Linked DNA regions of Caenorhabditis elegans. The protein of the gene in region 2 interacts with the protein of the main gene of each other region in a pairwise test. Each region holds a gene or a part of one and is shown on either strand. Other genes may lie near its edges.

Region 1 (3,760 bases), on a different chromosome or scaffold from region 2:
CCGGATGATCGAGAGTCTATTCGACTTTTGATTGGACAGATTCGGGTAGGTTTTCAATTTTTATTTTTGTTGAGTAACACGGAAGTTTTAGGATCTTTACAAAGAAATTGTGCAAATGAGAAATGAAGATAGAGAGCAATATAAGCTAATGAATGGGCGGGTGGATGCATTGGAAAAGGATGTGAGTTCAATTTTAAAATCAATTATTGATAAAATTTTGAAATGGATATTTTTCCTAAGCAATTGTATTGTTTAAGAGATCTTTGCGTACCAAGAAGCGTCGCAAGATCAATAAGGATAAGACAAAGTTGGATAAAGAAAAGAAATCGGCTGCTCAGAAGGTTATTTCCACATCAAATATGACGAATACTCCCAAGATTACGGACGAGAACAAGGTGGCTGAAAAGAAAGAAGAAGAATAATGAACTTGTTGTAAGAATGTCTATTTGTTTATGTGGACAATAAATGAGTATCTGAAGTTTTCATTTAATATTTTCTGTTTTTGGTCAATCAGCGATGAGTAATTGAACTGGCCAACGTCGCTGATTGGCCGGCGATTTTCTCAACAAGATTCGAAGTTTCAACGTCCATTTTAGTTTTTCAGCAAGCTTTTTCTCCAATGTATTATTTTTTCCTTTTTGTTTTAACATCTGACTTCCTTTTTTGCTGCAGCCGCAAAACTGAATTTCACTAGGGAATATTCTGAAGGTGCTATAGGAACTTAGATTAAAAAAATTGATTCAATTGAAAGCCTACTCGGCATTCAGAGGCAACTTCCTGCCACACTTTGGCAACTTCCTGCCAACAACCTGGCAACTTATTTAGTGCCACTAAAATAAGTTGCCAAAATTTGGCAGGAAGTTGGAAACAAGCAAAATTTGGCAGGAAGTTGCCATAATTTGGCAGGAAGTTGCCTCCAAATGCCGAGTATGTTGAGTAAACTCTAAACTCTAATGAATAAATGGAGAAAAACGCTTTATTATCGGGGGACTGTAGTGGAGTGGTACGGTAGGGGTGCAGTTTTTTGGATGAGCTGGGCTTAGTGTAGGGATTACGTTGTTGTGATGTGTGCTTTAGGTGCTTTGTTTTTGCAGGTACGGCTGATATACCAAATTTCAAACTAAAATCAGTATACTCACTTCAAGGCAAACCCTCAACGTCAAGGCAAACCCTCATTTACTAGCGTGCTCATTTACTTGAACGCTCAATCCCTAACGATGGCTCAATTCCTTTGACGCTCAATTACTAATGTTTTCACTTTCGTTCGTTTACTAATGAATGGCTCATCTACTTTGATATTTCATTTACTAACTTAAACTACAAAATTACTTTTAAAAAAAATTTCGGCAACCGGCAACTTTTGGTTACCGAAACTTCGGCAACTTTTCGGAAACCGGCAACTCGGTTGCCGGTTGCCGCACAGCCCTGGTATATGAGCCATTCATTAGTAAACGAACGAAAGTGAAAACATTAGTAATTGAGCGTCAAAGGAATTGAGCCATCGTTAGGGATTGAGCGTTCAAGTAAATGAGCACGCTAGTAAATGATGCCCTAACCTTGCACTGCTCTTTTCTGGTCTTTTTAGAATGTAGAATACTCTTCAATTAGCCAAATTACCAAAATTGAGTGTTTTTTTTCAAATTAATTGAACATTTTCCTATATTTGTATATCAAGTTTAGATTGAAAAAGTTCGATTATCATTCTGTAGAAGCAGTTTTTCAAAACTAGTTTGATGGATTTACGGGAATGATTTCCTTGTTTACAACGAAGCTCCGAATTTCCGCATACGCGCCTTATTTATCGTAAATTTACATTTCATCTGGTATTTGTTTAAACTAATATTCCTTGCAGGATAACTATCAATGACGGATTTACAAGTTTTTGAAATGAATCCTCAGCTGAACTTTCCTATTTCTGATAAAACTATTGTAAGTTCTTCGATTGTTCATTTTCAAGAGTTTCCTTTTTCGTATTTATTGAAAATCGATAATTTTCCAGTATCAAATGGGATTCAACTCAAGTGCTGCTCAACCATCTGCTGCGAACTATGTTACAGAGTCGAATTCATTAACAGTAAACTTTAAAAGTTCCGAAAGTCGAAAAAATCGATATTTTTTTTAGAATCATCTGCAAATATTGGACCTTTTGAATCCCCAAACTTCCAGTGGCAGCGACGATAAGAAAAGACAGTTTTTCGCAGATTTGATGACTCCACATTATGAAAAACAAGCTGAAATTGAAAAGAAAATTGATGATTTATCGGAAGTTGTTCATCAGTTTATTCAGTCACAGCAAAGTTTGAACAAACTAATCCTTGAGAAATGTCTGGTAAGTTATTACTTTTTCCAATATTTTCCTTAATCTACATTGGAACATAATTTCTTTTAAATATTTCATTTGTTTCAAATTAGATATTATTAATATCCATTAGACTTTTGCTTCTTTTCTACAGGGTCGTATTCCGTCTCCTCGAATGACAAGTCCACATCAACCTGAAGATAATTCAATAGATGACATGGATCCTCCTGTTCAAGAAGAAATCGAAGAAAAAATTGAAAATGATACTTTCGGTCAAAACGAAGTTACTGTGAATCAGGTAAGCGTTATTTCGAATATTTTTTCCAATCAAAACCGTTTCAGCAGCCAATAAATAATCCAATGCCAGTTTATCCAGTTCCCATTTCACATGAACCTGCAAATCTTCATTCACCGATTCGAAATCGATCAATATCTCCGGAAAAGATGGATACAACTGGAAATTCAGGAGCAGGAATGTCTGTCAGAGATTTTCTAAAAAACACAATGACAGTACAGAAAGCTGATGAAAAGGTATAGATTTTAATCTGAGTTCGGTATGAAAAATTAAATTTTCAGATTTTGGAAGAAGAATTAGAACGGGAGCGTGATGAAGCGGCACAAACAGTGAGATACAACAAATTTCGAGTTAGAAATCGCCCAAAGGTGAGTGTTTCTTTCGAAAAATATGCGAATTAACTTGTCCATTCATAATTTTTAATGCTAATACCTGAAGTTAATTTTAACATTTATTGAGATTCTCGAAATTTCTTAAAGTTTGAGTAGTGTCGGTTGTATTTTCCCTAAATCACAAAAAACAGTCTCAATATACTGAATATAACTGTTTAAAATAAAAGATTTAAAAATTTTATGCTTTAAAACAAGTTTCAATTTTGAAAAAAAATATAAACAGAGATGTTAAATTATCGTTTCTTCAGCCAATTCTAGAGCTTAAGCCATTTTCTGTTTTATTACAGACAAAAAAATCCAAAACTAAAGTTTTCAATTACTTTATTTCAGAAATACAAACGAAGTGCTGTAACATTTACATCATCTCTTGAAGCAGCTACATCATCATCTTCATCTACAATACCTCATCAAGATCAGGGTCCAACATTTTCAACACATTCAACAATTGGAAATTCATCGGATACTAGTCAATTAATGGAACAATTGGATCAATCACAAAATGATTCAATCGATATTGAGGAAAACGTTTATCAACCAATTGTAGTTCCATGTGTTCAAGTATCCTGGAATTCAACTATTTCTAATAATTATAAATTATTTCAGAGAGCTCCAGAACTTGACCTTACTCTCATGCAACCAGTGTTTTCCACGGCTTCTTCATACGTTCTCGTTAGTTTTTTCTCCAGAAAAAATCGAAAACGAGGAAACAATTACAAAAAAATTCAACTTTTTATCAAAAAAAGAAGAAAAATGATCAAAATTTAAAGCTATTTT
Region 2 (3,760 bases):
TTTTTTTCTATTTCACGACATTCAATTTATAATTGAAGTTCAAATGTAGAGTTATTTTTTTGTAAATTAATCATGTTAGTGAAACATATTTTTTTCCAACTTACAATAAACCATGGCTCACTGTTCTTGTTGATCGAAATTTTTTTTTTCATTTTTAAAATTACGTCGATATGAAAATGTAGTGCTGAAAACATCAAGACTTATTTTGAAAATATATTTGGATTTCTAAAAATATTGTTTATTTAAAATACTTCAAGTGGGGCATCCAGAGGTGGAACTTTATTCCCTTAACATTTTATTGTCGAAACTGAAATTTTCCTGATTTATTTTTTCTAAATAATCCTTTTTCATCTTCATCCTTAAAAATATTTCTAATCTAATCGGTTCTTCTCATCGTTTTCTTCCACACAATTCAATGTGTCCCAACTCTTTACCCATCTCTTCACAAAAATGTCAATTTCTGTTCAATTTCCCATGGGAGTTCGATTTTCCGTTTCCCATCCTTTTCCAAACTCGGAGAGCTTGGGGCAACTCAAGAAAAAAAACATTTGGAATACGGATTCCTTAAGATGTGCATCAAAGTACTAGACCTCCTCTTCTTCTAGATCTACTTTCTTTTTCCCCGTATTCACTTCTTTTGTCCCAAATTTCTTTTCATTCCAAATTGGATTCAGTTCCCCTGAGAAGCTCGCCTGAGCCGGCGGGTCACATTAGAGAGTACTACTCTTCTTTTTTCCCGAAAATTTCAATTTGACAGAGTGATTTCAAATAGGGACTAGTACCGAAAAAACATTTTGGGCGGAGTTGTAAACGGTGAAAAAAGTTTAAAAGTTTGAATTTATCTTGAGTTCGGACTTCCTTTCGTTCTAAAAGTATATTGCACAAACACAGGTTTTTTTCGAACTCCAAAACTTGACTTCTAGTTGAAGTATATGTTTAGTTAGTTTTCTAATAAATATAGTTCATTCTAGGACTATTCCCATATTTCCTACCTGCCATTTTTCTTGCCTACAGCAATTTTTCAGTGTCGCTGGGAACTCTTGTATATGATATACATTTCTCCCATTTTAACTTTTTGTTGAAAGTTTCTTCTATGTCATGCCAGTAAACATGCGTGTAGGCAGATAGTTTATTTTGTGCAGTTTGCACTTTTGCGCTTGCTCTGATGTTTTTCTCTCAAATTGATTTTTATTCTATCCAATTGGCATTTTCATTTCTTATCTGTTTCCCATTATCTTCCACAAATTTCCCTCTCTTTTTTCGCCTCATTTTCCGTTTCCAATCCCATCATTTTTCGTTCATTTGCTCCCCACCAATTTTTCCTCAATCGTCTCATGACCTCAAATTGATGGATCACTTTCTCACCTATATCTCTAAATCTCCATGTCTATTCATACTATCTCATCTTCATCTCGAATATCAATCAAAAGTCATCCAAGAATTCTCGTCTCATGAAAATGTCAACACAAACAAAATGTGCTTGAGCTAATTGTTTTTTGTGGGGTGGAACTTTTTGTGCAAGAGCCTGAAATAGCTAAAGCATATAAAATCTACAGTAATCCCTTCATAATTGATCCTCTGGTACTCCATCATTATTGCATGCAGACTCAGAAATGGATTCTAAAACAATTATTCATCAATTGTCCTCTTCTTTTCTTTCTTTTATTTTTCACCATGCACATTTTTCTCTTTCTGCATCGAAAGATTTATAAAATAAAAACTTCAATAAAAATTTTCCTAATTTTCAGATGAGATAGGATTGATAATTTTTATTCGTATTTCACACACACGTAGAAAAAAGAAGAGCCATCACTAAAAACTACATGATTACTTGCCGCCGGTCTGTAGGTAAGATATATTGAGCATGAAGTTTGAATTATTGAATATTATTCAGGTCAATGGGTGTTTTTGTGTGTCGCGACAACATCAATCTCATCACGAATCATCGACGATCAATGGGACAGCGGCAAGCAAAGCAACACATGCAGGTTGGTAATAGTTTTGATATGGGGAATTTTTTTTTCGGAAACTAAAATTTATGCGAACTTCTGTGATGTTTTTTAAAATGTTTTATCATTCCTGTTTGGCATTCCCCAATTTTAAACATTTATTTCTGCAGGCTGGCGTCAAACTTTATCATCAACGACATTACGCACAGGCTATCAATAAATGGAGACAGTCTCTGAACAGGTTAAAGTAAGTCTTTCAGACGACTCCTCTTCTTTTCTATAACGTCCATTTTCAGCAATGCAGAAGACCGGTTTATCACTCTCGGATACCTTGCTCAAGCTCTTTGCGACCAGGGAGAATACGAAGGAATGCTTTCATATGCTCTATCACAAATGCAGTTGGCAACCGATCAAAACGATTCAGCAATGAAATGCGAGGCATTTTTGAATCTAGCAAAAGCCTATGAACGATTAGCAGATTTCACGAAAGCCCTCCAGTATGGCAAAGCATCGTTAGAACATCCTTCGATGGATCCCAGGACGCCTGGTTATGCACATTTAAGTAAGAATTTTCAATAGGTTCTAGACAAAACTGTGGCTATTTCAGCAATAGCACTTGCACACTTAGGAATGTCCCAGTTCCAACAGTGTCTGGAAAGTTTCGAGTCAGCAATGAATGTTGCCAATGAGACATCGGATAGGTTACTCGAATTGCAAATTTGTGTTGGTCTAGGATCTCTTTTTACTCTTTTGAGGTAACCGTACAGAAATGAAAAATAACACATTTTTATTTTCAGAGATATCACTAAAGCTCTGATATTTCTTCGAAATGCTCTCGCAATTGTTCAATCTGTTACTGTTGATGATGTTCATGCAAAGTATCGTTGTTTGATACTTTATCATTTATCAGTTGCTCTAAGGATGAAAGGAAGTCTGGTTGATGCCAAGGAAGCATGCGATGTAAGTTTTTATTTAAAGTTTAAGAACTTCAAAAAGTATTGAATGATTCCAGGAAGCTTCCCAGCTAGCTGTTGAGATGGGTAATCGAGCGATCCATGCAAGATGTATGTGCAGTTTAGCAGATATTTATAGAGAATTGGGAGAGAGTGAAGCCAAAGAGACTATCACTGTGAGTAATTTTAAATTCTCAGTTATTTCAGTAAAAAAACGTTATGCTTGAAAAGTTAATAATAACAACTAACTTTCATTAAAACTTGTATTAGAAATCAATGAGTTTTTTTTTTCTATTGTTAGATAATAAACTCTTTCTTACAGAAATCCTGGGCAAGATACGAAGATGCTTATCGTGTAATGCGCGGAGCAAATGATAAAATGGGCGAAGTAAGTGGCCAAAAAACCTTCAATTATTTATTGGTACAACCAAATACCTCATAAAACCAAAAGCTCACATCCAGGTCTCAATTTCTTTTCCCATTAAATAACTTTTACGACTTTCCCATAAATCTTGAAGCTTTGTGGTTGACACAATCTCACATAGAGATCAGACAACATGAGTATATTTCTGGGGAATTGTGAGAAAATAATTTTAATAAGTTCTGAGTGTTTTTCAGGTATTAGTGCTCTCGTCAATGGCAAAAAGTGCATCTGAAAGTCGATCTCATTACACTGGACAATGTGAATGTCAAGCTATTCAATTGAATAAAAAGTGTATTGAAATTGCAAATCAGATAGGGTGCAAGGTACAAAATCGATAGGATGATTCCACAAAACTTCAAAATTTTGTTTCAGCACGTTGTCTTAAAGTGCCATCTCCGACTAGCCGAACTATATTCTCAACTGAATGATGACGA

The links. The genes of interacting proteins can lie anywhere in the genome.
Region 1: the proteins of rpy-1 (region 2) and F10D11.2 interact in a two-hybrid assay, tested with the Caenorhabditis elegans proteins (one large-scale study listed by BioGRID).

The regions. Positions count from the first base shown.
Region 1 is NC_003279.8:8,436,690-8,440,449, reverse strand, and holds the start of F10D11.2 (uncharacterized protein), read left to right. Parts: upstream 1-1,841; 5' UTR 1,842-1,863; coding exon 1,864-1,929; intron 1,930-1,999; coding exon 2,000-2,074; intron 2,075-2,122; coding exon 2,123-2,329; intron 2,330-2,453; coding exon 2,454-2,597; intron 2,598-2,641; coding exon 2,642-2,830; intron 2,831-2,875; coding exon 2,876-2,962; intron 2,963-3,316; coding exon 3,317-3,544; intron 3,545-3,589; coding exon 3,590-3,655; intron 3,656-3,760. Other genes in the region: F10D11.3 (BAG domain-containing protein), read left to right, coding at 1-45, 92-181, 258-422.
Region 2 is NC_003280.10:6,703,632-6,707,391, reverse strand, and holds the start of rpy-1 (43 kDa receptor-associated protein of the synapse homolog), read left to right. Parts: upstream 1-1,748; 5' UTR 1,749-1,848; intron 1,849-1,894; 5' UTR 1,895-1,898; coding exon 1,899-1,988; intron 1,989-2,119; coding exon 2,120-2,196; intron 2,197-2,245; coding exon 2,246-2,511; intron 2,512-2,556; coding exon 2,557-2,704; intron 2,705-2,746; coding exon 2,747-2,909; intron 2,910-2,961; coding exon 2,962-3,078; intron 3,079-3,224; coding exon 3,225-3,290; intron 3,291-3,520; coding exon 3,521-3,649; intron 3,650-3,698; coding exon 3,699-3,760.